4 linked regions of the Elephas maximus indicus genome follow. The protein of the gene in region 4 binds, or shares a complex with, the protein of the main gene of each other region. Links are inferred from orthologs where the notes say so. Each region holds a gene or a part of one and is shown on either strand. Other genes may lie near its edges.

Region 1 (7,914 bases), on a different chromosome or scaffold from region 4:
AACAACATAATAATTAATATTTTAAAAGACTCTTTGCCAAAATAAGTTCCATTAATTTTTATAAGGTGAAATTTTAAAGAGATTATGCCATTTTTTCTTCTCAGCATATTAAATGTCTTTGAACAGAAGAAGTTTTGAACAAGAGAATATATAAAAAGCATAAGTATGCTTACTGATTTCTAGTCACTTACAAATAAGTTTAATGCTTGAGAAATGGAGCAAATAAAATCAATGCAATTTGGTGTCATAGAAATGTCTAGTTGAGCATCTCAGTAACACTAGTAGTAATTTTTGGGTCTTCCAGAGCAAGTAGGATTTCAAATACAGTTTGTCAGAGAGGCCAGAATTTATACCAGATGGGCCATTTCCCTCTTTCCTGGAACACCCTGTGCTTATAGCCTCACATGTTCTTTGTTGTACTCCTTCTTCTTTCTCCTTATATGCCAATTAAGATGTTCTTGGCTGCGGGTAACACAAATGCCAACTCAAAGTTGTTTAAACAATAAAGGGATGTATAATTTCACCCAACAAAAAATCTACAGGCAGGTGCTCCAGGATTGATTAATTCAGTGGCTGCACAATGTTGTCACCAAGAATCAAATTTTGCCCTGTCTTCCAGTTCTATCATACTCAGTCTGACTGTCTTGTCCTCCTGGTCATAAGATATGTGCACACCATAGTTATCACAAACAGCAGAGGTTCTCTAGCACTATTGACATTTTAGGTCAGTAATTCTTTGTAGTAGGAGACTGTTCTGTACATTATAGGATTTTTAACAGCATTTCTGGCCTCTACTTGCTACTTGCCAGTAGCACTACCCCAAATGTAACAAGCAAAAATATCCAGACATTGCTAAATGTCTCCCGGTGGGGGAGGGTAAAATCACCCTAGTTAATAACCACTGGCAAACAGACACATTAACAGTATAGTAGATGAGGGACTAATTTTTTTGTCAAAGGCTTTAGATATAAGACCAAGAAAGACCTTGTCTGAAGCTCTAAGCAGACTTCCCCTCTGTTGCATTGGCCAGACTTGCTACACGTTGTGATTGTTAAGGTTGTGTGTCAACTTGGCTGGACCATGATTCTCAGTGGTTTGGCAGTTATAACAGTCTGGCAGTTGTATAATAAATGTAATCACCTCCATGATGAGATCTGATATAACGTGATTGCCTCCATGATGGGATCTGTTGTGAGTAGCCAATCAGTTGAATGGGTGTTTCCTTGGGTGTGTGGCCTGCAACCAATATAGGTGGACTTTCTAGCAAGATTTGTGGGCTTTTGCTCCCTCTGGATCCTGCAGCTGGCTCCTGTTCATTGACACATAAAATTAACCATCACACTGTATTAAACTAAACAAGAGTTCATATTGCAATCTCTGACTTTATTACCACAGAATTCATTCTGGTCTTTGATTTTTTGTAACTTCTTTCTCTGGCAGTGAAAGACTTGGCTCCCATTATCTACCATCAATTTACTTTTTTTGTTCAACCCCACTATACATGTAAAGCAGGTTCAGAAAACAAATTTACAAACTACAATACAGTATTTATGTGCAGTTTTTTTTTTCTCTTTAGCTTCACAGTCTTTGATTAAAAACAATTTTAAATCAAATTGTTTATACAAAAGGAATCCCCCCTCCGAAAGACCCTGTACTATAGGGGAAGTCCTGTTCTCTTACTACCCTTAACTCACCCCTTTAGGGTTATCCATTTAATGACTTGATGCATATATTTCCACATTTTTCCCCTTGCTCATATACAAGCATATATTATGTGCATGTGTATGTCTGTGTCTGCATTTGTGTTCTATAGAAGACATTTGGTCTGAGGGTAGAGTATGGGAACTAGAATGTTTTAGAAGCAGGTAACTCTAAAATACAGCTAAGATTAAGGACTACTGCTCTAAGCCAATTGTGGTAGTTTTCATCAGGGCTACCTGTAGGTATGCGTGGCCCCGGACAATTTTTTTTTTTTTTGTGAGACATCTAACTATATAAAAAACAAGCAGATGAAAGAAATTAAGAAAATAATGATGTAGAGTAAGGATGACAGTTCATGATGTAGAGAAAAGCATACAAACGAATGTTACAACAATCAGAATCTACGAAGTAGACAGAAAATACACAGAATAGAGGGATAGCATAGGCCAGCTGGGAACAGGAAAACAGAGGAAACACACAGAGAAAAGTTGGCTTTGGTTCTTGACAGTTTTCTAATTACAATTCTCCTGTCAATCCATGAGTCTTTTCACAATGAACTATAAATTTCCAGAGGTAACTTTAGCAAGTCTCTATTACTTGCACCAAAAGAATTATAATATATAGTTATGAAATAAGTATGACTAAGAAGAAGGAAAGGAGTTGGCCAACGTGCCAGGGATAAAGAATACAATGGAAGAAGTTAGAAGTGTATTCAGTCCATAGCCAGGTGATAAAATCCATTCTGAGTTTCTGTTTGAAGAGAAAAGTGTATCAAGGTCAGATATCACCTGGAGAAGGCCACTGAGACAAGTGGACTTCCCCAGAACCACTCATTCAAGAAGACTCAGAAACCTGAGCTGCCAGCTTCCAAAAGAAAAAACCCAAACCCATTGCCATCGAATTTACTCTGACTCATAGTGACCCTAAAGGACAGAGTAGAACTGCCCCGTTGAGTTTCCAAGGAGCACCTGGTAGATCTGAACTGCCGACTTTCGGTTAGCAGCCATTGCCCTTAACCACTTCGCCACAAAGCGAAATTATCTCTAAGGTGTGGACGCACATTAGTCAAGCTCACAGAAACTCATATATCAAAAGTCCAATATCAATTTATTGATTTATAAGGATAATAACTACCAAATGGATCAGATCCTTTTGTTCACTCCTCAGAGTATTTTCTGTCTACAGGCAAATTCCTGTGGAAAGACAAATTATTATCGGAAGGTTGCTTGGTAAGCATGGAATTAGATCAATGGGAGTTAGTGCCTTCAAGCTATAACAACCTGATGCAACTCAATTCAACCTACACTTACCAAGTACCCTCAGATGTAATTTCCCCTGAAGCTAATACTTTCTAAGCTTTAGGCCCCTGTAAGTGATGGGAGCTGCTGGACAATTGGTTGTCTGAAAAGGGAAGGAGAGCAGGGTTGCAAACAGGAAGCATTTTTATGTAACATTCCTGAAAAATTGCCTAAAGAGTTTACAGCAGACAGGGACCTTGTTGTAGTTTCCTAGTGCTGCTGGAACACAAATACCATGACTGGATAGCTTTAAAGAAGAAAAATTTATTTTCTTGAGTTCTGGAGGCTAAAAATCCAAATTAGGGTCTCAGCCATGCAGATTCCTTCCTTGTAGCCCTGGGCATTACTTGTTTCTTGGTAATCCTCAGAGGCATCTGTCTTCCCCTGTCCTTGTTTCTGTGTTTAATCGGCTCTTTTTATAATTCAAAAGTGATTAGGTTCGGCTACAACAGATGACTGCCCTGACAGGGAACACAACAGAGAATCCCTGATGGAGCGGGAGAGCAGTGGGTTGCAGACCTCAAATTCTCGTAAAAAGACCAGACAGACTTATTGGTCTAACTAGACCAGAAGGACCCCGGAGGTCATGGTCCCCAGGCCTTCTGTTAGCCCAAGACTGGTACCATTTCCAAACCCAACTCTTCAGACAGGGCTTGGACCGGACTGTAAGATAGAAAATGATACTGGTGAGGAGTGAGCTTCTTGGCTCAAGTAGACACATGAGACTATGTGGGCAATTCCCGTCTGGAGGGGAGATGAGAAGGCAGAGGGGGACAGAAGCTGGCTGAATGGACACGGGGAATAAAGGGTGGAGAGGAGTGTGCTGTCTCATTAGGGGAAGAGCAAGTAGGAGTACATAGCAAGGTATATATAAGTTTTTGTATGAGAGACTGACTTGATTTGTATACTTTCACTTAAAGCACAATAAAAATTTTTTGGAAAAGTGATTAGGTTTAGGACGTTGATATGGCCTCATTAATATAACATTAGATTGCATTATGGAAAGTAATTATATTACATTATATCTACAGGTATAGGGATTAGGATTCCAACACATATTTTAGGGGGACACAAATCAATCCATAACAGACCTGAATCTCTAAGGCTTTACTTTTTGTTGTTTACCATCCAGTTGATTCTGACTTGATAGCGACTTATAGGACAGAGAAGAACTGACTTCATAGAGTTTCCTAGGCTGTAATCTGTAAGGGAGCAGATTGATAGCCCTTTTCTCCCTCAGAGCTGGGTGGGTTCAAACCACCGACCTTTCAAAACTTGTTATAATTTCTTTTTGTATTGTAAACATTTACTTTTTAAACCTAATTTTGCATTAATAATGTTATATTCTTTTTCTTGGAAACCCTGGTGGTGTATTGGTTAAGTGCTCCGGCTGCTAACCAAGAGATCGGCAGTTCAAATCTGCCAGGCGCTCCTTGGAAACTCTATAGGGCAGCTCTACTCTGTTCTGTAAGTTTGCTATGAGTCGGAATCGATTCGACGGCAACGGGTTTGGGTTTTTTTGGTTTTTACTATGTATATTCTCAACAACAAAATAATTTTTTTTTTAAAAAAAAAGGACATGTTAGGCTTGGTGCCAGTAGATGTCGGTAAGTCTGTGAGGCCAAAATAATTTTTCTTTTCAATAGCCGAAGAAATAAGATAAATCAAAAAACCTAATGGTCTATTACAATACCATTATGCTGTCTCAAAGGCCTTGAAGATGCAATAACAAAACCCAGTACTGCGATCCTCCCGTCAGGCTAACTCCACTAAACGTAGCCAGTTTTGATGACTGAACACCAAACCATCCAGCTCCAGGAGAAACAGGCGCGAAGCTCTCGCGAGACTCTACCAATACCCAGGAGCTCCCGTGAGCACCAGTTCCCGTCTCCTAACCTAGCGCGCTTACAGGCCGTCTCCTCCCCGCCGGCTTCTTCCGCTACCGCGGGGCGGGCCGGAACCTTTGTTAAAGGGAACGAGTTTACACAGCAGTGTTGCCGGCCGGCATCAAGGAGAACAGCGTGGCATCCTCTTCCTCTCGCCGTTGCGGCCGCGGAGCGGAGCTGAGCTGATTATAGTCGAGGAGCTCGGTTACCGGGCGGGCTGGGTCTATGGTCGCTCCGCGGGCCGCTCCGCCTGCTGGTGCTTTTTTATCAGGGCAAGCTGTGTTCCATGGCAGGGAACTTTTGGCAGAGCTCCCACTAGTAAGTGATCTCCCGTCTTCCGTCCAGGGCCGGCACTTAGGGGTCTGTAAGGACGGGGCCTGCAGCTCCCCTTGGCCTGCATCCTGGTCCCTGTCCCGAGCGCCTCGGGGTCCTCCCGGGAGTCGGCGGCGGCCGGCAGCCGGCAGCGGGATGCGCTGTTTTGAGATGACTCCCCTTTTCCTGCCCCCCTAGCCCGGTTTCGGGGAAGGATCTGTGACCCGGAGTGGTGGGGACAGGGCAGTCTCCGAGAAAGGGAGGTTGAGGAGTTTAATTTAGGATTGTTGGATTAGCTAGGCCCGGGATGGGGAGGGGGTTGGGTGATGGCTCCGGGTGTGGGAAGTGTGTCTCAGTTGTGGACTGTGAGGTGGGCTCCTCAGGATGGCTGTGGCTCGATTTTGCCTGGGATTACTTTAGAGGATCGGCACCTGGTCTTTTGTCATTCACCGTCTATCTTGAATGTATTTAATAATGTTCCGAGGAGGAGGGGGAACTCCGTGTTTCTTCTCACTAACCACTTCCTGCCACTACCTTATGCCCAGATGGAGTTTTATGTTGGTAGGTGATACAGCAGGTGCTTGCAAGACTTAGCCATTTCATTATTCTGTGCCTTGTATTTTGTTTTGTAAGTGTTTTCCAGTGATTTTGTTTGCTAGTTTACAATTTTTCGTAAATAAGTTTTTGTTTCTGTCAGTGATCGTGGAAGAGCTAGAGTTATATTAAAAACATTTTTCCCTAAGTGCATTTGTTTAAGCAGGCAAGAAGGTGGGTGATGGGGCTAATTAAACATTGACTAGACTTTTCACTGGAAAGTTGAAATAGGAACAGAACGTGATAAGACTGTACTTAGTGTAAGTAATTTTTAATGGTAAGAGTGTTTGTAACTAATTTCAACTTTGATTTTATGAATAGCATCGGTTCCTTTCTTTTGTTTTTTGGCCCTTTCCCGAAGAAAAAAGGAACAGTGGCCTTGGAAACCTATTTGCAGAAAAGCAGGTCTTCCTCTTTGCTCTAAAGTAATTCTATGGTGCTGAAATGCTCTAGAAGCTTTACAAATTATACCATTTTTATTTTGTATAGTTTTTTCACTCACTGAAATAGTTGCTTGGGCAAAGTTAAAATATAGAAGGCATAGGTAGTGGAGAAGAGTATTCTTATAAACTTGGAGAGAAGCTGAGAGAACTTCAGGGAAGCTGGCAGTTGGTCGTCAGAAGTTAATGCAGTTTTTTAGCTTTTAGAAAAGAGACCCTGTCCCCCTTTTGATGAGCATTCTCATTATGCTTTCACTTACTATTGGCATTATAGAAACAGTTGTTTTTTTCACTATTGAGATATAAAGTTATTACAACATTAAGTGTGCTTTTTTGGAATTGCCCCTGCCTGCCAATTCAAATAGTCCTGAAGGAAGGGGCCACTTTACCTCACTTAACTCCCTTGATTATCATGAAGTCCTTTTTCTGTAAAAGATAACAGGTATGAAATACAAGACAATCAATTCGTGAAAAAAACAAAAAGATTATGAAAGGACATTGCTTTAGGTACGTATCAGAGATTTTGATGAAAGAGGAAACGTCATGAAAAAGATTGTATTTCATGGCTTATAAGGTGCACATTTTCACATTTTAACTTCTCAGAAATTGGCATGGCAGTTTTTTTTTCTTAGTAACACATGAAATAATGATGAGTTTTACAGCCAGTGGAATCTTAAGTTTGATGAAATGTGGTATTTATAAGTCTTGGTTTATTCTCTATACAAAATGCTGGGAGGAAATTTTTTAAAAATATTTGTTTCTGAAATTTATCTTTTTAAAAAGATAAAATGACTCTGTGGAAATGAAATTAGTGTTAATTCCAGGACAGAGCAAGTCACAATATATTCCAGAAAATTGAAGTAGCACAAAACATTCTCTGATCACAATGTGGTAAAACCAGAAAGGCATTAAATAAATATTTTCAGGTTGGTTGAATGAATGAATGAGCACGTAACAAAAATAAAAACTACAAAACCAACTCTGGATGCTTTATTGTATCAAAGAGGAAACTGAAAATACAGTTACATAATATCTAGAAAATAATATAATGAGATCAATATATATCAGTATTTATGGAATGTAGCCATGCTGAACGTAAAAAAATTAAATTATTGAATGAGAAAGAATAAAAATAAATTTTTTAAAATTCTACCTAAGAATATTAAAAAGGAAACAGTGAAACAAACCTAAGGAAAATAGAAGGAAAGACTTAATAAAAGTAAAACTTTTATTAATGTAATAAAAGGGAAAAAATTGTCAGAAAATACAAGAGCTGGTTTTTTGGGAGGGAAAACCAAGACAATAGGCTGGATAAACTACTGCTGATTGAGACAAGGAAAAAAGGGATGATGTAAAAATATAAAATTAGGAATGAGAAAGGTAAATGAACCCAGATATACCTTTGGACTATCTGTATGGCATAAATTAGAAAGCAAATTAAGAGTTATCAGAACGACTTCGTAAAAATGCTCAAGGCCCACACATTATTTCCTGCATAAATTACCCTCAACTTTCAAGAGGATCATAGCTCTGCTATTGAAATTGTTCCATTTCACACAGAAAGGAGGAAATGCTTTCCAGTTCTTTTTATGAAGCCATTATAACACTGGTGATAAAATCTAGCAAAGGAAGCACTAAAAACCTGTCTCACTTTTGAATATTGATTCAAAGACCATAAACAAA
Region 2 (7,087 bases), on a different chromosome or scaffold from region 4:
CCTCTGTCAGACCCGTAAGTCTGGTCTTTTTTTTGTGAATTTGATTTTTGTTCTACATTTTTTTCCCGCACTGCCTAGAACCCTCTATTGTGATCCCTGTCAGAGAGATCAGAGGTGGTAGCCTGGCACCATCTAGTTGTGCTGGACTTAGTCTGGTGGAGGCTGTGGTAGTTGGATATATCAGTCCTTTAGACTAATCTTTACCTTGTATCTTTGGTTTTCTTCATTCTCCCCTGCTCCAGATGGGGTGGAACCAGCGGAGTATCTTAGACGGCTGCTCACAAGTTTTCACAATCCTAGATGCTACTCACCAAAGCAGGATGTAGAACATTTTCTTTATAAACTATATAACGCCGGTTGAGCCAGATATCCCCCAAGACTGTGGTCCCCAGCTCGTGGCCCCACAGTTCAGTCCCTCAAGGAGTTTGCATTTGTCTGTGAAGCTTCTGTGACCTTGTCTTGATCAAGTTGTGCTGTACATTGTCCAAATAGTTTTAATAACTGCTGAAGGCAGTTATTATTAACTGCACTTCAGGGCTTCAAAATGGTTCATTCTGGTTTAAACCCCTTCTGTGAATTTGTTATTTCCACTCCAGATATACTGAATAAGAACTTACGTTCTTAACAAGATTCCCAGTGATTCTTACATATGATACATTTTAAGAATTACTGCTCTACTAGTGGTTCTCAGAATTTGTCTCTACTGAATTGCTGGGCTGAGGGCTCTCGTGCATTGCTAAACTTGTTGCTGTCAAGTCCACTCCAACTCATACTGACCCTATAGGATAGAGTAGAACTGCCCCATAGGGTTTCCAAGGCTGTAATCTTCACAGAAGCAGAGTGCCACATCTTTCTACCTCAGAGTGGCTGGTAAGTTCGAACTGCCAGGCCTTCTAGTTAGCAGCCGAGCACTTAACCACTGCATCATCAGGGCTCCTCAGACATTGTTAACCAGGTAGAAACTGGTATTTGGCAATTTCCATAAAAATTATAAACAGACATAACCTTTAAGCCAGCAATACCACTTCCAGAAATTTATCCTATGTCCTGTGCATACTATCATTCATTCTAGCATTGTTTAAAGTGGAAAAAGAAAGAAGCAACCTAAATGTCAGTCTGTAGGAGACCAGTTAAATAAAGGTGCAGACATACAATGGAATATTAAGCCTTGGCAAAAAGAGAATTTACTGTCATTATTAAAAGTTATTTGTTAATAACAATGAATATTATTAAATATCTATTAATAATAAACATTAATTTATCATTAAAGGGGGAAGCCAAGCTGGTAATTAGCAGTGTGCACAGTATATGACCACCCTATAAAATGATTCTATATTCATAAATTATTAAACTGGGGACAATGACTGCAGACAGGAAAAAGAACAGGGGATCAATCTAAAAGAGATGCGAAGAAACTATTCTTTGGATCTACTCCTTTGTATTTTGAACCACATGCTTGTATTATCTATAAGAAGACAATTAAAACAAACAAAAAGTTAATGTACGGCCACTGCGTGATCTATGTCTGAGTGGCATGTTTTACCAGCAGCAGCTCAACTGCAAACAGTTCTCATCTCCCTACCTGTAATGCACTACTCCAACATGACCTCTTTAAGTATCAAACATTTTGTCTTTTTCATGGATACATTTTCTGGTGATTGTTAACTAAGTTTTACTGCTCTTCTGCCCATTTTTTATTATACTATGCATGTATCCCTATTATAATTTCTTTGTATCTATATTGTGGTATCTTTGTATCTTTACTATAGGATTATTGTATCTTCATGATAGTCTTTGTTTCAATACTGTGCCAGTTCCTCTTATCCATAAATGAGTGAAAGTTATATTCTTTACAATGCCTAACACAGCTGTTTGCAAGTCACCAAATAAATCAGAATAGGATGAAAACGTCTTACATAATCTAACATAGGAACTTTTTAAAAAGCATCATAAAGACATCCCACACTGTGCTATCATCATGACTTCTCAATACAGATTTCCACTGGGAAGTACACAAATTAAAACAAATGGAAACCAAAAGAGACAAATAAGAGAAAAAATATAACGATTTGATCTCTCCTTTTCCAGAAAAAAACTTAACAATACCATCAAAGTAAATGTAAAAAATAAAACGGGGGAGGGAACCCCCAAATCATCAGCTGAATATATTAAAAATGCAGTGCTCACCTGAGAAAGACCAGCCCAAAACTGTCTGAAGGCCCCCAAACAGCTTATAAGTTTTGTTTTTTCATCTTCAGGGGTATCCATAAACATGCTAAACAAACAAAAAACCCAAAATTATATTATTTGCCACTAGCTTTAAAAAGTCAATCCATCATAACTAGAACAGTCGATTTTACAGAACCCAAGAAAAACCTGTCTTACAAAGACACCCTCACGTAAAAACATAAAAATCTGCCATGCATTATACTCACCCAGGGAACGCCTCTTCTATAATTTCCGTTTTCTGTAAAACAATTAAAAAAAAAAAAGACACACGTAAACAAATAAAAAACGGAGGGGGGTGGTACCCCTAACGACACAGTACAAGCATCTCAATGGGCAACGTGCAGAAACTACCGGCACCCGCCGCCTGTCACCAGAGAGCTGGGGATTTCAAAGGCGACCCTGAGCGTGACACCAGCCTGAGAACCACCAACGCCTGCACACTCACACCGCGTCGCAACGAGGACGGAGGAGGCGGCTGCCCAGGCCGACCTAATTGATCCGCTGCCCCCGCCTCTCCCGCTGCATCGCCCGGGACCCCGACTAGTTCCACTCACCACCACCTCCTCAAAAATGCTCTGCAGTTGTGTCTCCATCTGCACCATCGCCCCACCTTCCTGTGGGTCCCAGCGCGGCCGGGGTCTGGCCCGAGCCTCGGGAACGGAGGGCCAAAGGGGCGGAGACGCCCGGAAAAAACCGCGGCTCTCACCCGCGTCACTTTCCTCTCCAAGCACCGAGCCGGAAACGTCTTCTCCAGGGCCCCGCACACAACTGGAGGCTGCACGGAAGCCCGGAGAGGTGGGTACGCGCCGATTACAGAACCCCCCCCAAACCAGGAGGCCCGCCAGATAGTTCCGCTTGTGCAGAAGGGCTGCTCGCGAGCGCGCCCTCAAGCGGATACTCAAGCCCAAGACACCCAGAAGCGTTGTCGGCTGCAGGCCGCCACCCTCTGGCTGGAATAGGAGTTGCTTCCTAAAACTCTTAGACTGGGGAGAAGGTATAGAGCCTAGGGGCTGCAGCCTGCAGAAAACAACTTCTGCCACGGCCTGGACCAACCAGCTTTCTGTGAGCACCTGGCCTTCTGGTGCAGCCTAGAGCCCTGAGGTGAAACAACACTTCTCTTCACAGGTACCATGACTTTTTAAGTATGGTGACCGAGGTGGCCTAGCAGAGTGCCAGACAAAAAGGACATATGAATGCATCACTACTGAATTTTAATTCGAACCATCAAAGAATAAAATCTACCTTTTTAGGTATAGTCATCTAATAATAAAAATATTTACCATTTTTTAAGTACTAATAACACTATACCAGAAAGAATTGGTTGACTTTAAACGATATCGGGAGGTAGCATATAATCAGGAACCTATGGTATGAAGGAAGAGATCCAAGTTGCACTGAAGGCATTGGTGAAAAACAAGCCTCCAGGAATGGACAGAATACCAACTGAGATGTTTCAACAAATGGATGGAGAACTGGAAGTGCTCACTTGTCTAAGCCAAGAAATTTGGAAGACCGCTACCTGGCCAACTTACTGGGAGAGATCCATATTTATGCCGATTTCAAAGAAAGATGATCCAACAGAATGCAGAAATTATCAAACAACAGCGTTAATTTCACCCGTAAAAAACCCATTGCTGTCGAGTTGATTCTGAGTCATAGCAACCCTATAGTACAGATTAGAGCTGCCCCAGAGACTTTCCAAGGAGCACCTGGTGGATTCGAAATGCCAACCTTTTGGTTAGCAGCCAAACTCAACTACTACACCACCAGGGTTTCCATTTATCATACAAGTAAAATTTTGCTGAAGAGCATTCAAAAGTGGCTGAAGCAGCACATCCACAGGAAACTGCCAGGGAATTCAAGACAGATTCAGAAGAGGACATGGAACTAAGGATATCATTGCTGACGTCAGGCAGATCATGACTGAAAGTAGAGAATATCAGAAAGATATTTACTTGTGTTTTATTGACTATGCAAAGGCATTCGACTGTATGGATTGTAACAAATTATGGAGAACATTGCAAAGAATGGGAGCTCCAGAGCACTTAATTGTGCTCATGTAGAACCTGTACATACACCCAGAGGCAGTAGTTTGAACAAAACAAGGGGATACCGAATGGTTTAAAAGTCAGGAAAGGTGAGTGTCAGAGTTATATCTTTTCTCCATACTTAGTCGACCTGTAAACTGAGCAAATAATCTGAGAACCTGGACTATATGAAGAAGAAAGGGGCATCAGAATTGGAGGAAGACTCATTAACAATCTGCATTACACAGATGACACAACCGTGTTTGCTGAAAGTAAAGAGGACTTAAAGCCCTTACTGATGAAGATCAAAGACCACAGCGTTTAGTATGGATTACACCTCAACATAAAGAAAACTGAAATTCTGACAATAGGACTGTCATGGATTAAATTGTGTCCCCCCAAAATATGTGCCAACTTGGTTAGGCCATGATTCCCAGTATTGTGTGGTTGTCTTCCATTTTGTGATTGTAATTTTATGTTAAAGAGGGTTAGGGTGGGATTGCAACACCCTTACCCAAGTCACATCCCTGATCCAATGTAAAGGGAGTTTCCCTGGGGTGTGGCCTGCACCACCTTTTATTTCTCAAGAGACAAAAAGGAAAGGGAAGCGAGCAGGGGCGGGGGACCTCACATCACCAAGAAAGCAGTGCCGGGAGCAGAGCACATCCTTTGGACCTGGGGTCCCTGCTCGGAGAAGGTCCTTGTCTGGGGCAAGATTGATGAGAAGGCCAACGGAGAGACAAAGCCGTCGCCTGGAGCTGAAGCCCTGAATTTGGACTTTTAGCCTACTTTACTGTGAAGAAATAAATTTCTTTTTGTAAAAGCCATCCACTTGTGGTATATCTCTTATAACAGTACTAGATAACTAAGACAAGGACTAATAAGCAACATCATGATAAATGGAGAACATATTCAAGTTGCCAAGGATTTCATTTTACTTGGATCCACAATCAACACCTATGGAAGCATCAGTCAAGAAATCACACGATACATTGCATTGGGCAAACCTGGGCAAAAGACCTCTTTAAAGCGTTAAAAAGCAAAGATGTCACCTTGAAGACTAAAGTCCACCTGACCCAAGCCATGGTGTTTTTAATTGCCTCATATGCATGCAAAAGTTGGACAATACATAAGGAAGACCAAAGAAGAATTGACACCTCTGAATTATGGTGTTGGCAAAGAAAATTGAATATATCATGGGCTGCCAAAAGAATGAACAAATCTGTCTTAGAAGAAGTACAGCCAGAATGCTCCTTAAAAGCCAGGATGGCGAGATTATGTCTCACATACTGTCTTAGTTATATAATGCTGCTATAACAGAAATACCACAAGTGGATGGCTTTAACAAAGAGAAATTTATTCTCTCACAGTCTATGAGGCTAGTAGACCAAATTCAGGGTGCTACCTCCAGAGGAAGGCTTTCTGTCTCTGTCAGCTCTGGAGGAAGGTCCTTGTCATCAGTCTTCTCCTGGTCCAGGAGCTTCTTTGCACAGGAACCACTGGTCCAAAGAATGCACTCTGCCTCCGATGCTGCGTTCTTGGTGATACAAGGTTCCCCTCTCTGCTCACTTCCCTCTCCTTTTATTTCTTGTAAGATAAAAGGTGGTGCAGTCCACATCCCAGGGAATCTCAACTTACATTGCATCAGGGATGTGACCTGAGCAAGGGTGTTATATCCTACCCTAATCCTCCTTAACATAATCTAATCTTGCCTCATTAACCACAGGCAGAGATTAGGATCTGCAACACATAGGAAAGTCACATCAGATGACAAAATGATGGACAATCACACAATACTGGGAATCATGGCCTAGCCAAATTGATACACATATTTTTGGGGGACACAATTCAATCCATGGCACATACTTTGGACATGTTATCAGGAGGGATCAGTCCCTGAAGGACAGCATGCTTAGTAAAGTAGAGGGTAAGCAAAGAAGAGGAAGATCCTCGATGAGATGGATTGACAGTGGCTGCCAACAATGGGCTCAAGCATAAGAACCATTGTGAGAATGGTGTAGGACTGGGCTAAAAACTGCTAAGTCACTGTGATTCTACATTTCAAATTGTCTTTCTTAGTAATCTTTGGCACAGGTTTCAGTAAGGGCAGTCAGGAGGATCCTCACTGGTCTAACAAATCTTACTATTCACTAAATGTTAATAGAAAAAGATAAGAGTGGAAAGTGTTTTTGTGCTCTGTTTTATGAGGTTATTTGAAAAGTTCTCTACAAGATGTTTTCCAAGATTGTCCTCAGTGTTGTCTTTATACCTCAGGGCCCAATTGATTGTGGACCCTCATGAATCCAGCTCCAGTTGGGTCATATTCTTATGCGTAAAGACAGGGAATAATGGCATAGATATAGATATAGATATAGATATAGATATAGATATAGATATAGATATAGATATAGATATAGATATAGATATAGATATAGATATAGATATAGATATAGATATAGATATAGATATAGATATAGATATAGATATAGATATAGATATAGATATAGATATAGATATAGATATAGATATAGATATAGATATAGATATAGATATAGATATAGATAGATATAGATGGATGTATTTTATTGTCCTTTAAGTGAAAGTTTACAGTTCAGGTTAGTTTCTCAAGCAAAAATTTATACACGCATTGTTATATGACCCTAGTTGCTCTCCGTATAATGTGACAGCACACTCCTCCCTTCAACCTCGGATTTCCTGTGTCCATTCAACCAGCTCCCATCCCCTTCTGCCTTCTCATCTCCCCTCTGGACAGTAGCTGCCCATTTAGTCTCATGTAATACTTGAGCTAAGAAGCACTCTCTTCACGAGCA
Region 3 (7,271 bases), on a different chromosome or scaffold from region 4:
TCCTCATATTGGTGAATGATCAGGGGAAGAAGTAGCAGTATTGCAGAGAAAGAGTTTGAAAGAGTAGACAAGCGAAAGCCCAGGGTTTGCCTGTTATTAGTAATGAAATCACAACCTCTACTAGCAATGCAGACACATCAAAAGTACTATAAGATCAGTATAAGGGAACTTCATGGGAAGTGAAGAATAAAATCTCCTTATACCAGTCCATCAAATGTGCCCCTTATAGGTGCATTACTTAGCACTTTTGCCTGAAATACCCCAGTGTACTCACGATTAACACAATTTTATAAATACACCTCCTTCTCAGGAAGATTCCTAATGTTGACAGCCACCATGTACTCAGTGTTTGATGATAAATAAAACTGAAGACACACTATAAGGACTATAGTTTGAACAAGCCCACATAAAGATGTCAGCTTATTAAATAATTATTTAAGCATACCACTTTACCACAATCCTCACCATGACTTGACGCACAAGCTTAATGGTTTCACTCCAAGGTCTATTTTGGTTAAATTTTGCATGGAGTCGTTCCAAGAGAGAACTCATCTTATTCAGCTTTTCTGACTCTATGACATAAATCAGAAAGAATAATTAGAAACTCTTTTACCAGGCCCTTCCACAGTTTTTCTTGCAAAAGAAAACTCCAACTTCACCCCAGCAAAAACTCAGTTGAAATATTTTTCATTATTATTTACTTCAAAACATACAAAGTATTTTTAATGGTGGGAAGACACAAATTATGGGTCTGACCTAAGGAATACCATACAGCAGGGCTGTTTTCTATTTAAACATTTAAGAGTAATCAAAAGAAGGTCCATCTCTAATCACGATTCAGGATTAAGCTACAATTCAGTGACAAAGTCATTTCATGATATGCACGAAACCCCTTGCATGACAGATGTAGAGCATACATTTGAACATGGCCTTACTATGGCTAATTGGTATTCAATGTGAAAACACTGACTTCCTAAATATTTTGACATAATTTTGAGAGATCAATTTGTAGGTGCTATCAAAAAAACAAAGGAGCCCTGGTGGTGCAATGGTTAAGCACGCAGCTGCTAACTGGAAGGTCAGAGGTTCAAATCCACCAGCCAGCCCGAGGGAGAAAGATGTGCGGCAGTCTGCATCCATAAAGATTTACAGTCTTGGAAACCCTATGAGCAATTCTACTCTGTCCTATAGAGTCGCTATGAATCGGAATCAACTCAACAGCAACGGGATCAAAAAAACAGGCTCTTTTGGGTTTGTTTGTTTGTTTGAAGATCTATCTATATGGGATCAAACTGACAACAGCAACCTGAAAAATTAGGTAGGAAACTTAGGGGCAGTAAGCTTATGTTAAGGGCAGAGGAATAACTCAAAAAAGGAGGGTGAGAATGGTTGCACAACTCAAAGAATGCAATCAATGTCACTGAACTGTATGTGTAGAAACTGTTGAATTGGTCTATGTTCTGCGGAATATAGTCTCAACAACAGTAACAACAAGAAAATAAAATAAATTATGAAAAAAAAGAAATCAGGCTCTGTTAGCCATTCAGGTATTTCTTATTTGAGTTTAAACTAAAACTACATGGACACGGAAAAGATCTATGACCAGAGGATGAATCTCCAGCAGAGCTAAGAGAAAGGTAGACAAGAGTGGTTTTTGGACTAAGTATGTGCCCTCCAACCCTCCTCTAATTCTTAAGCTACCCAGTATGAGCAAGGAGCTGTGCTAAAGACCACTGGAAAAGCAAAAACATATAAAATGTCTGAGATGACATATGTGAAGGATGTGGATAAGTTAACGTGGAAATAACAGTCACACAAAGCAAAGTGAGATATGCTCTCAAAAACAGAAACACATCACTACTGAAATTCAAAGGAAAAAAAGTTCATGATCAGTTGTGGGGATGTTACAAAAAAGATAACAGTTGATGCTAGCATTGAAAAATGAATAGAATGTCATCAATCAGAGTTGATGCAAGAGGGAGAAGATCTTCTAAAACAAGATCCGTCTTTCTTGGATGCTCAAATCGACATTTTTTAAAGCAGCTATTCTATGCCAGGGACTACATAAAGATGAGGAAGGCAGGGTCCCTAATCCACAAAGCTTAGGATAAAGTGAAGAAGATAAGTAAACAAAAATAACACAAGGAGTTGTTTTAGCAGAACTATGCCCAAAATGCTAAGGAAGAATTTAAACTGGAGCTTGGAACTTTAGAGGGGCTGGGTAAGGTTCCACAGAAAAGTTATTTTTCAGCAGTTGTAAGTTAGTCCGGCCACTGGAAGGATGAAATTCAAAGCATTTTAAAAATATACAATAGCACGAGGTCTGAACACTGTGGTATTCTAGGGAACTGCTGGCTTTTAATATCATAAGATCCTAATCATCCCACTCACACCAAAACATCCTCCAGTACTTTTACATGCAGCTCTGTATTGTTAGTTTTATGTCGCTATTCAGACATCTCTTCTTGCACCAGGTAAAAGCAGTTTTAGATTCACTCACCTGGTTTCCCACCACTTTAGGCTAAAAGTGCCCTGAGACCCAAATGATTGCCCCAGTAGAGCAGGAAACCTTCACAGAAGTTGGAAGCCCCCATCACCCCAAAGTTGGAACTTCACCATCACCTGAGAAAGCACGGTCAGTCTAAAACTCATACACATCTTGCCTCCTGGACTCTGAGCCCTCTGGAGAGTGGCGCCCATGGGGCATCGGCCTCAGCCCCTCTCACCGGTTGGCTTCCTCCAATCGTGTCCCGCCCTCTTCTCTCCCCCTCACTCACCCTCGGCTTCCCCCTGAGCCTTCATCCTCGAGGTGGGGAAGGCCTGAGTCTGCCACACAAGAGGATTAGTCCTTCCCCACCAACGGGGGAACCAAATTGGTTCCGGTTCCCGGGACGCAGGGCACCAGTAGTCCCCACTCTTCCCGGGAAGGCTCAGTCCGAAGTCCCCGGCGGCAAGAAGTGAAGGGTGCTCGCGGCCGCCGCCATCTTCCCCAACGGAACTTCCCAAAGATCGCGAGACTAACCGGGATCCTGCGAGAGAAGGGGCAGGGCATCAAAATGTCGCGAAAAATAGTTAATTCACGCTCCTCGCGAGATTCTTGTGGCCCGGCCTTTCCTTCACTCCTGACTCTTTCACATCTCACGTACCGGGGCCTTGAGCTTGCGAGCGGAAAGCCTCCGGCTGCGGTAGTAAAGAGGTTCTTTCCACTTTGGCAGTTGAACAGTTCACAAATTATAAACTTCGGCTTTCCTTACTGAAAGACTATTTCTTCGAAAAACATTAGTATCAGATTTTATTAAAGATAATACCTTTTCTGTGAACTGCTAGATGAAATAATTGTTAAAAGATATCGGCATTTTGTAACACGGTGTTCGAAGTCAGCCCAACATACTTAATTCACATATTCTAGTTTGTTTACATTTTTAATTTCAGAAATATTTCTTGAGCAATTCCACTATTTTTGAAGATCTGAGGGATTTTGGGATAAGGTAAATTTATTTGCAGCGAAGTCTCTGCTGGTCTTAATTATATTTAAGGTCCCAAATGGGATCACAATTGATTTTGCCCTGTCTTTGTAATCATAGTGAAAACAAGCGGCTTAACTAGTTCTCTACACTAAATCACAAAGAATATGTAGTCGTACCTTTTGTATACAGTAAATCTTAAAGAGAAATTTGCAACAGTGATAAGAAGGTCTTGGCCAATGGAACTGAAGAACCAGGCTAAAATACAACAAGGCTAGCATTAAGGGAAAGTTCTTAAAGTAGTTAAAACTAAGGTTTTTTAATGTATTTTTTCTATACACACATCTTTGAAAATAACATTACCACTGAAAAGTTGGTCTTACCTAGTTCGCTACAAGAATATTAAGCAGTGTACTAATACAGGCTTTCTAGTCTCAGGCATTTCCCACCTTTCAAAAATGTTATTCAGACATCTTCCAAAGCCATCCCAACAGATACTGCAGTTCAGGTGAGCAGGCACAGCAGTGTAAACTTAGTAAGAACAAATACTTGGAAATGTATGGGGATGTGTTTATTGCCACAAAGATTTATCTCTAACAATGCTTCTTGAAAATGAAGTTCAAACTTTATTTCTTGTTCAGTCCTCTTATCCTCATACCTTTGAATCACTACACAGTGAGTTTCTTGGGGGAGTAATTGTCCCTCATTTCTGAATCCTCACTGCCTAGCGCTGTACTTGGATCTAATAGGAAAATCTTTTACTGAGCCTACAAGGCCTTGCTAGACCCAGCTCTTACCCCATTGCCACCCCCAGCAACAGTGACCTTTCATTTCCAGAAAATTCCTGCACTCCTTTCACCCCCAGGGGCTTCAAATAGGCCTTACTTCCCCACTATACCTAGGGTCTTCTTATTCAGATCTCGATTTAAGCCTTCTCTGACCTGATCAGGTACTCTTATATTGTTTCAAAGTTCTCTTTTAATAGCATTCTCACCATCAAAATTAATTGTGTGGTTTGTTGAATGCCTTGTCTTCCCTGGTAGACTGTCAGCTCCAGGAGTACTGCACTGGGTCCATTTCTTCACTGCTGTCTCCTGAGTGCCTAGCACAGCTCCTAACACACATCAGGGATGCAATGCATATTTCTAGAATAAATTGATAGGGTTGTCAGATAAAATATAGGATGCCTGGTTAAATTTTCATTTCAGATAAACAATTTTTTTTAATGTGAAAGTATGTCCCAAATATTATGTAATATGAATATTGTATAAATCTGCCAACCCTAAAACTGATGAACACAGAGAGCATTCATTCAAAAGAATTTTTCAAGATAGTTCATATTTAAAATGCTCTATCCTTTCTTGCTGTCAAAGTGCTCTTCATTTAACAAGCGTCTATGTGGTCTAATATGTATGTATTAGGAGCTAGTGATATAAAGATGAAAACACAGTCCCTTGAAAACCCTTGATGGCCTCACTTGATTTAGAGTTCTGAAAATATGGTTGGCCATTATCATACCCATACCATACCCATTGCCAGCGAGTCCATTCTGACTCATGGCAACACAGTGTATTACAGAGTATAACTGTTCCATGTTGTTTGCTTGGCTGTGATCTTTACAGAAGCAGATTGACAGGGCTTTCTTCCATGGCACTGCTGGGTGGGTTCAAACTACCAACCTTTAGATTAGTAGTTGAGCACAAATTGTGCCACCCAGGGACCTCACTATAATCATAAAAAATAGGTGCTTTAAAATCTTTGTTAATTAATTATTATGCCCAAAGCATTAATGTCAGATATATAGCCATACTTTCGCCTGGAGGCTATACAAGTAAAAAATAATGTCTGTACCAAGCGTAGGGGAAATTTTAAATTTACAAAGTTTGTAAATACAGAAACTTTTATCAAACTTTAGTCACAGAATAGAATGAAAAGTTATAAACTTTATCGACTGAAAATGCAGATGAAAGGATAGTGTTAAAAAATGTGTACACTAGGAGGAAAGATAGGACAGTCATTGAACAAGAAAAGCATTCACAGTAGTCATAGAAACAGTCTTCATAAATATGGCAAAATGGGAATGATGGGCAAATTTTATCCAGAAAAGCTTTGAGGAAGACTCCAAAGGACGCTTTAAATCTGAAATCTAAACTAACCAATTGGTTTGTGAGAGGTGGAGGAGGAGTATTGTAACTTTAGTTAAATATTTCTTATGTGTACAACCTAAAAGGAAACTTTCTGACCTGTTTTGGGGAATTTACAGAAAAAGTATTGCCACCACTTGACTTGACACTTTCAGGTTCAGAGTCTCCCTGACCTCTGTCCTAGGAGGTTATGCAAATAATGCGAACCGCACAGACCTGGAATTTCTGAGTTCAAAGTTTATTTTACAAAAGCGCTATTCTTACCAGTTATTGGGCCAAACGCTGTAGTTAGGATAGATTTTCTATTTAAAAATTTGGGAAAACCTGAGATTTATTAGAGTTTTATTCAGCAAAAATAGGAAGTATGCAGAAGAAAGAATACCAGTTTAGGATTAAGGAGAGACCTGATCCTCCTCCTGGCACTTCCTAGACTTGGTGTAAACATGGTCAAATCATATTCCTTTTGAGTCTCAATTTTGACATTTATCAGATGGATATAATACTCATCCTGGCCACCTTACCAGGTTCCTAATTTGTTCAACTGATATTTATTGATAGGCTTAAAAGAGTTCTGTGGAAAATTGAAAAGTGCTACAGGTACATATTATAAATGTTCAAAGATTGGGTAAAAAGCTTCACTCATTCGTAGGTGGTCTCTAGTCCACTTCAAGAGGCAACTAACATAATTAGGAATGTTTCTAGTGCTGTTTAATCTAGAATTATGAATTTTATTCTTTCAAATTTTATTTGATGTATCCCCATAATGCCTTCTGCAATCTTCACTTTTTCATTTTACCTTGAGTGCATCCTAGGTCAAAAATTTGATCTCATTTAAAAGATTTAAACCACAACTACCACAGCCTCTGCCAGACTGAGTCCAGCAAACTAGATGGTGCCCAGCTACTACCATCGACTGCTCTGACAGGGATCACAATAAAGGGTTCTAGACAGAGCTGGGGCGAAAAAAAAATGTAGTACAACATTCTAACTCACAAAAAAAGATCAGACTTACTGGTCTGACAGAGACTGGAGAAACCCTGAGAGTATGGCCCTCAGACACCGTTGTAACTCAGTACTGAACTCACTCCTGAGGTTCGCCCTTCAGCTAGAGTTTAGAGACGCCCATAAAACAAAACAAGGCTTAATGGGCATACCACCCCATGGGCAAGGACTAGAAGGCAGAGGGGACAGGAAAGCTGGTAACGGGGAACTCAAGGTTGAGAAGGGGAACGTGTCGACATGTCCTGGGGTTGGCAACCAATGTCACAAAGTGATATGTGTGTTATTTAATCAGAAACTAATTTCCTCTCCAAACCTTCATCTAAAGTACAATAAAAATTGTCAAAATGTAAAAAAAAAAAAAAAAAATTGGGGGGTAAGTTTTGCTGAACTCGAGGTGGGCTAGTCACTTTGTCTCATCAGCCCATTAAGCCTTGTGCCATCTGCCATCCTGTCAGGTATATAGTGGGGGCTTTTACATCCAGGCCCTCCCGAAGCAGCAAATGAGAAGTTACCACACCTGGATTCCAGTCCTTGAGTCATCTTTTTTTTTTTTCTTCTTTCTGGATAGCATTAGTTTTACTTCCATAGACAATTAAAAAGTTACCTTGAAAAACTTTGGTCTTCTTTTTAACAGAAACTCAAAAGTCATAGGAAGCTTAGG
Region 4 (7,245 bases):
CTCTCTAAAGCCCCTCTGCTCTCTAATCCATTCTTCATCCTGTTGCCAGGTTTACCTTCCCCAAAACACAGAAGAGCTGACTGGAGACACTACTTGCAGAAATTGTTTATTCAGCAAATACGTATTGAGCCCTTACTATGTGTCAGGCTCTGTGTTTGTGTTTTGGGAATATACAAATGAATAAGATATCCTCACCCTTCTAGGAGCTCATAGCTAAGCAGGGATGATACAAGCAAATAATAAAACACAGCGTAATAAGTTATAGAGCATAAATATGGAGATACTGCAAAGTGTGTGAACACAGAAGAGGAAGTAACTAAATTTACCAGGATGGGGGGGCGGGGGAATTAAGGGAAGGCTCAGCTGGAGGGGTGCTATTTTAGAGGAATCATAAAGAATGAGTGGAATTTTACCAGACAGAAAAGGGGCAGGACATCAGGCAGAAGAAAAGAGCATTTGACTTGGAGTCTCAGGACATCTGGATTATAGTTTTCTTTTCATAGCTATTATTTGAGCAAATAATTTATCCCCTTGGGACTTACTTAAAAATAAGAAGCTTGTATTGACACCCTCTAAAGTCTCTTTTAGCCCTAATGTTCAAGGGTGTATTAGTTTCCTAGGGCTGCCTTAACAAATGACCACAAAGTGGGTGGCTTACAGCAACAGAAATTTATTCTCCAACAGCTCTGGAGACCAGAAGTCCAAAATCGAGGTGCAGGCAGGGTTGGTTCCTTCTGAAGGCTTTGATGGAGAATTCATTCCAGCCTTTCTGTAGGTTTTGGTGGCTGCCAGCAATTCTCGGCCTCCATTGTCACGTCACCTTCTCCTCTGTGCCTCCTTTCCCCTTCTCTTCTCTTATAAGGTCACTTGCCATTGGATTTAGGGCCTACTCCAATCCAGGATGATCTCGTCTTGAGATCCTTACTTCAATTACATCTACAAAGATCCTTTTTTTTCCAAATAAGATCACATTCGCAGGTTCCTGGTGGACATATCTTTTGAGGGCCGCCATTCAACCCACTACAGAGGGCATTCTCCAACTTAAAAGTCTTCAAAAGCTACCCATGGCCTTCAGGGTAAAGTCCAAATTCCAATCATCACATCCAGCCATATTGGACATGTCATAGGCATTTACTCTCTGACTGGAATTGTTGCTGTTGCTGTTGTTGTTGTCACTGCCTTTGAGTTGGCCCCTGAGTCATGGTGACCCCATGCACAACAGAACAAAATGCTGCCTGGCCCTGTGCCATCCCTATGATTGGTTGCAGATCTGACTATTGTGGTCCATAGGGTTTTCATTGGCTGATTTTTGGAAGTAGACTGCCAGACCTTTCTTCTTTCTTAGTCTGGAAGCTCTGCTGAAACCTGTTCAGCATCATAGCAACAGGCAAGCCACCACTCACAAATGGGTGATGGATGCGTACGAAGTGCATTGGCTGTGAATTGAACCCAAGTCTCCCACATGGAAGGTGAGAATTCTACCACTGAACCACCACTGCTCCCATCTGACTGGGATTAGCCTCTCCCTAATTTTCTGTGTAATTGGCTACCTAAAGGTTAGTAGTTCGAACCCACCCAGCAGCTCCATGGAAGAAAGGCCCGGCAAACTGCTTCTGTAAAGATTATAGCTAAGAAAATCCTATGGAGCAGTTCTAACTTTCTAACACATGGGGTTGCCATGAGTTGGAAATCGACTTGACGGCAACAAGTTGTTTTTTTGTTTTACTTTTCTGTGGGAGTCCCTGGGAGGTGCAGACCTTTAACGCACTTAGCTTCTAATGGAAAGATTGGAGGTTTGGATCCACCCAGGCGCACCTCAGAAGAAAGACCTGGCAATCTACTTCCAAAAAATCAGCCGTTGAAAACCTTATGGAGCACAGTTCTACTCTGGCACCCATGGGGTCACCATGAGTTAGAATGGACTCAATGGCAACTGATAATTCTCTGTGGATTCAAATCCTTCAGGGTAAACTTAAATGTTACCTCCTCCAACATGTTTTCCTCTCCCCAATCAGAATTATTCTTCCTACCCTCTAAACCCACTGCCATCGAGTCGATTCCAACTCACAGCGACCCTATAGGACAGAGTAGAACTGCCTTTCGTACTTTTATTATAGCACTCTAGCTATCTCATCTCTAAGAGGTGATACCCTACTAAAAGAATATCGATTCTGGAGTCAAGAAGGGATTCTAGTTCTTCCTCTGTTACTCACTGGTTGTTAGGTGCCATCGAGTCGGTTCTGACTAATAACGACCCTATGTACAACAGGACGAAACTGCCCAGTCCTGAGCCATCCTCACAATCATTGCTATGTTTGAGCCCATTGTTGCAGCCACTGTGTCAATCCATCCCCTTGAGGGTCTTCCTCTTTTTCACTGACCCTCTGCTGACCCTGGTGGTGTAGTGGTTAAGAGCTGTGGCATACCTTTCCAGATTTTGAACCACTTAGTATCCCCGTGTTCTGTCCGAACAACTGCCTCTTGATCTATGTGCAGGTTCCTCATGAGCACAATGAAGTGTTCTGGAATTCCCATTCTTCGCAATGTTATCCATAATTTGTTATGATCCACACAGTTGAATGCCTTTGCATAGTCAATAAAACACAAATAAACATCTTTCTGGTATTCTCTGCTTTCAGGCAAGATCCATCTGACATCAGCAATGATACTCCTTGTTCCACGTCCTCTTCTGAATCCAGCTTGAATTTCTGGCAGCTCCCTGTTGATGCACTGCTGCAACTGCTTCCGGATTATCTTCAGCAAAACTTTACTTGCGTGTGATATTAATGATATTGTTTGACGATTTCCCCATTCTGTTGAATCATCTTTCTTTGGAATGGGCACAAATACGGATCTCTTCCAGTCAGTTGGCCAGGCAGCTATCCTCCAAATGTCTATGAATAGACAAGTGAACGCTTCCAGCGTTGCATCCGTTTGTTGAAACATCTCAACTGGTATTCAGTCAATTTCTAGAGCCTTGTTTTTCACCAATGTTTTCAGTGCAGTTTGGACTTTGATCATATGCTACCTCCTGAAATGGTTGAACATCGATAAGTTCTTTTTGGTACAGTAACTCTGTATTAGCTGTATAATATTGGGCAAGTAAATCAGCTTCCTTACCTGTAAATGGGGACAATAATAATCCCTAACTCATGGGGTTGTTTGTGGATTAAATGAGATAATGTTTGAAATTCATCTAACATTTAATAGGTGCCTCTCACTTTTTTTTTTTTTCTCGCTAGAGCGATGGTTCTTAACCTGGGATTCATGGCCACTTAGGGAATACATAGATGAGCTTTGGGGATCTAAAAATATTCCTGGAAAATATCTGACATTTTGTATGTCCATATGTGCATTTTTCTGGGAAGAAGGCCCATAGCTTTCATCAGCATCTTGAAGGGCTTGTGAATCAAAAAAGATTAAGAACCTCAACACTAGACCATATGAAGGCTTCTCCAGGTTAGAGAAGGAGCCCTGGTGGCGCAGCGGTTAAAGCCATGAGTGCAAACCGAAAGATTCAAAAAAAAAAAAAAAACCTGTTGCTGTTGAATCGGTTCTGACTCACAGCAACCCTACAGGACAGAGTGGAACTGCCCCGCGGGGTTTCCAAGGAGCGGCTGGTGGATTACCAACTGCCGACCTTTTGGTTAGCAGCTGTAGCTCTTAACCACTGTCACCGGGGCTCCTAACTGAAAGCCTGGCGGTTCCAAACCATCAGCGGCTCCGCGGGCGAAAGATGTGACAGTTTGCTTCCTTAAATATTTACAGCCTTGGAAACCCTGAGGGGGTCCCTATGAATGAGAATCTATTCAACCGCAGTGGGTTTTTTTCTTTTTAGAGGATAGAGACAGCCTTTCAGGGCTTGATAGGTGCTTTCTTATGCATACATAGTTTTTAGTCTTCTCAACAGTCCTTTGAAGAACATAACAGTATGCTCACTTTTCAGTTGCAGAAACGAAGAAGTAGCTTGTAGAAGGCAGTTTCGAATCACTGCGAATAATTATTGAGAAGCTTTTCTAGGCCAAGAACTGAGGTAGGCGCTGGGAACCCAATTTCAGTCACAGCTCAGAACCCTGGTTCAGCACCACGGCTGCCTCCGCCTTTGGAAGTTTGTATCTCCAGCACAGTACTTGGCTCAAGAGCGTTTCACAGACTTTTTTTGCTGGGTGAAATAGATTTTCCGCCGCTCGGTAGGAAAAGCTTTCTGGGCACGGAGCTCCACCCCACGCTGGGCCGGCCCCGCCCCCACTGCAGTCGGTATTGTCGGACGGTTCCCGGTGTCCCTCGGGTTCACTCGGTAGTTTCCGGCAGTGATCGAGAGTTTGTAACGTTCCCCCTCGTTGTCTCTCGGCCGCGTCCCCCCAACTGCCGCCCCCCTTTTCGGCTCCCTCTCCCCCTTTTCCCCCGCCTGAGCCTATCCCTGCTGGCGCTTCTGGCGCTACGGGCTGGGCAAAATGGCGGCCTTCGGGATCTTGAGCTACGAACACCGGCCCCTGAAGCGGCCGCGGCTGGGGCCTCCCGATGTGTACCCTCAAGATCCCAAACAGAAGGAGGTGCGTTCATTAATCGGGGCTCTTGCGGGACTAGGGACAAGCGATCAGCACAGGAGGAGGCATTGACGGCTTGGGGGAGGGGGCGAGGCGATTAGGTGGGAGCAAAGTCCCGAAAGGGGGAAGAGTAAAGTGGGGCGGTGTGGGAGAGTAGGACCTAGCTATGGGGGCTTCTGGCTATAAATAGGGAATGATGTAGGGGCCACACCAGAGGCATCCCCCCACACGTATACACATACGCTTCAGAAAGTTGTCTGACGGTAGCTTGGTGAGGTAAGGCTGTTCTCTAGGGAAGAGTGATGTTGAGGGAGTACTGGGTGGTTGGGAATCTTAGTGACTGAGGAGGTGAGGGTGGGGTCCAAATGAGTAAAAGAGCCTAGCCTTAAATAACAATCTATTTTACTCAGAATCATCCTTCTACCCTTTTTCCTTGTACCTTCCCTCCCCTTGCCCTCCTCTTTCACCCTTCCTACGCCCAGGGGGGGAAAAAAAGCTAAAATGTCATTTTCCTGCCTTAGGATGAACTGACGGCTTTGAATGTAAAGCAAGGTTTCAATAACCAGCCTGCTGTCTCTGGGGATGAACATGGCAGTGCCAAGAACGTCAACTTCAATCCTGCCAAGGTGAGGCAACCCTGCCAGACTGAAGGGAAAAGGCTGGAAGAATCTGAGAAGGAGCAAAAGCCCTGGGTTGGGAAGACTTAAAGAGACAATCTAAATGGCTGAGTTTTCCATTGTAACCTAATGCCACAACAATGGTATTTGTATATCAAAGGCACAACCAACCACCTATCTGCCCCTTCTTCCCACCCTGAGGTATAGTTTTCTTCCCTCAGATCAGTTCCAACTTCAGCAGCATTATTGCAGAGAAGTTACGTTGTAACACCCTCCCTGACACTGGTCGCAGGAAGCCCCAAGTGAACCAGAAGGACAACTTCTGGCTGGTGACCGCACGATCCCAGAGTGCCATTAACACCTGGTTCACGGACCTGGCTGGCACCAAGCCACTCACACAACTAGCCAAAAAGGTGAGATACTCTTTCCTGTTCTTCGGGCCAAGGGGGGAGTGTGGATACCAAGTATGCTGCTATTCCCATATTAAGCTACATCGATACCAGCTCATGGGGTAATAGAAACCTCACTATTTGTTATGTCCATCCAGGTCCCGATTTTCAGTAAGAAGGAAGAAGTCTTTGGGTACTTAGCCAAATACACAGTGCCTGTGATGCGAGCCGCCTGGCTTATTAAGATGACCTGTGCCTACTATGCAGCAATCACTGAGACCAAGGTTAAGAAGAGACATGTCATTGACCCCTTCATGGGTGAGTAACTCCTAACACCAGGTGTATCACTGACCCTTTCTAAGAATGATAAATCCTTGGAATTATTCTCTTTCCTAAACTATATTCCATTCTTCCGCTTGTATCTTGCATTCACTCAATTAGTAAACATTGAGTATCTTGAGTATAAGTAATATGCACGTACTGGGCTATAACGATGACTAGTACATAATTCCTGCCCTTCGCGTGCTTATTGTCTAGTAGGGATGTTAAGGCACATGTACAAATAACATAATTAAAATATAGAAAGTAGCAAATGTTAAAAGAGGAGGCAGAAAATTCTTTGAGACTTCAGTCAGCAAAAAGTTTACTTTCTTTGGTGGACAACTGGGAAGGCTTTAGGAAGGTGGCATTTGACTCTAGCCTAAGAAGTTGAATAGGATTTATAAGTATGTGATTGGGGGTGGGGGTAGGGGACAGAAGAAATTCTACACAGAGGGACAGTATAAAATAGCCTCTTCTATCTTTCCTCTAGAGTGGACACAGATCATCACCAAGTACCTATGGGAGCAGCTGCAGAAGATGGCTGAGTACTACCGGCCAGGGCCTGCAGGAAGTGGCAGCTGTGCTTCCACTATCGGGCCTTTGCCCCATGATGTGGAGGTGGCAATCCGGCAGTGGGATTACAACGAGAAGCTAGCCATGTTCATGTTTCAGGTAGGGAGTAGGGCATGTAGTGTGTGGGGCATCGAACTGAGCCTTACCTTGCTTTGCTCTCTGCCAGTATAGAACAGAATCAGCCAACCACCTTGCTCCTGTTGTGGTTTCTTTCATCCTTTCATTTGCTTTTTTTTTTATAATTTTTATTGTGCTTTAAGTGAAAGTTTACAAATCAAGTCAGTCTCTCACACAAAAACCCATCTACACCTTGCTACACACTTTTTTTTTTAATGAGACAGCCCACTCTCTCCCTCCACTCTCTCTTTTCGTGTCCATTTCACCAGCTTCTAACCCCCTCCGCCCTCTCATCTCCCCTCCAGGCAGGAGATGCCAACATAGTCTCAAGTGTCCACCAGATCCAAGAAGCTCACTCCTCACCAGCATCCCTCTCCAACCCATCGTCCAGTCCAGTCCCTGTCTGAAGAGTTGGCTTCGGGAATGGTCATTTACTTTTCCTGCCTCATCTCTAATAGTCCCTAGACTGAACTAATACTCTTCCCACCCCGGTACCTATAGGATGGAATGCTGGACAGGCATGAGTTCCTGACCTGGGTACTTGAGTGTTTTGAGAAAATCCGCCCGGGAGAGGATGAGTTGCTTAAACTGCTGCTGCCTCTGCTGCTTCGGGTAAGGCACTAGGACTTGGAGGGGGTTATAGGGGGGACTTGAAGGATAAACTTTAGAGCAGTGTCCCTT

The links.
Region 1: the proteins of MED12 (region 4) and CCNC are in contact, whole or in part, in a cryo-EM structure (PDB 8TQC), measured with the Homo sapiens proteins. The link is inferred for Elephas maximus indicus from reciprocal best matches to the Homo sapiens genes MED12 and CCNC. Residues at the interface, in NP_005111.2 of Homo sapiens: Ile6, Leu7, Ser8, Tyr9, Glu10, Pro13, Leu14, Lys15, Arg18, Leu19, Pro22, Asp23, Val24, Tyr25, Asn47, Pro49, Ala50, Val51, Asp54, Glu55, His56, Gly57, Ser58, Ala59, Lys60, Phe64, Pro66, Ile69, Asn72, Phe73; in NP_005181.2 of Homo sapiens: Gly3, Asn4, Phe5, Trp6, Gln7, Tyr11, Ile15, Asp17, Gln19, Asp20, Lys23, Gln49, Glu53, Leu57, Arg58, Gln59, Ile62, Tyr153, Arg157, Pro158, Gln161, Tyr162, Asp165, Leu173, Pro174, Trp177, Arg178, Ile179, Asn181, Asp182.
Region 2: MED12 (region 4) and MED23 share a complex: the UniProt entries of both Homo sapiens proteins name them as parts of the mediator complex. The link is inferred for Elephas maximus indicus from reciprocal best matches to the Homo sapiens genes MED12 and MED23.
Region 3: MED12 (region 4) and MED1 share a complex: the UniProt entries of both Homo sapiens proteins name them as parts of the mediator complex. The link is inferred for Elephas maximus indicus from reciprocal best matches to the Homo sapiens genes MED12 and MED1.

What each region holds. Positions count from the first base shown.
Region 1 is NC_064819.1:164,409,144-164,417,057, reverse strand, and holds the start of CCNC (cyclin-C), read left to right. Parts: upstream 1-4,896; 5' UTR 4,897-5,171; coding exon 5,172-5,203; intron 5,204-7,914. UniProt on the Homo sapiens protein: Component of the Mediator complex, a coactivator involved in regulated gene transcription of nearly all RNA polymerase II-dependent genes.
Region 2 is NC_064819.1:200,455,540-200,462,626, forward strand, and holds the start of MED23 (mediator of RNA polymerase II transcription subunit 23), read right to left. Parts: upstream 3,011-7,087; 5' UTR 2,832-3,010; coding exon 2,784-2,831; intron 2,468-2,783; coding exon 2,436-2,467; intron 2,276-2,435; coding exon 2,188-2,275; intron 1-2,187. UniProt on the Homo sapiens protein: Required for transcriptional activation subsequent to the assembly of the pre-initiation complex. Component of the Mediator complex, a coactivator involved in the regulated transcription of nearly all RNA polymerase II-dependent genes.
Region 3 is NC_064837.1:46,799,750-46,807,020, forward strand, and holds the start of MED1 (mediator of RNA polymerase II transcription subunit 1), read right to left. Parts: upstream 3,016-7,271; 5' UTR 2,803-3,015; coding exon 2,778-2,802; intron 573-2,777; coding exon 466-572; exon of another isoform or gene 446-465; intron 437-445; exon of another isoform or gene 1-436. UniProt on the Homo sapiens protein: Component of the Mediator complex, a coactivator involved in the regulated transcription of nearly all RNA polymerase II-dependent genes.
Region 4 is NC_064846.1:98,567,395-98,574,639, reverse strand, and holds the start of MED12 (mediator of RNA polymerase II transcription subunit 12), read left to right. Parts: upstream 1-4,224; 5' UTR 4,225-4,454; coding exon 4,455-4,553; intron 4,554-5,068; coding exon 5,069-5,173; intron 5,174-5,385; coding exon 5,386-5,577; intron 5,578-5,711; coding exon 5,712-5,871; intron 5,872-6,364; coding exon 6,365-6,546; intron 6,547-7,065; coding exon 7,066-7,176; intron 7,177-7,245. UniProt on the Homo sapiens protein: Component of the Mediator complex, a coactivator involved in the regulated transcription of nearly all RNA polymerase II-dependent genes.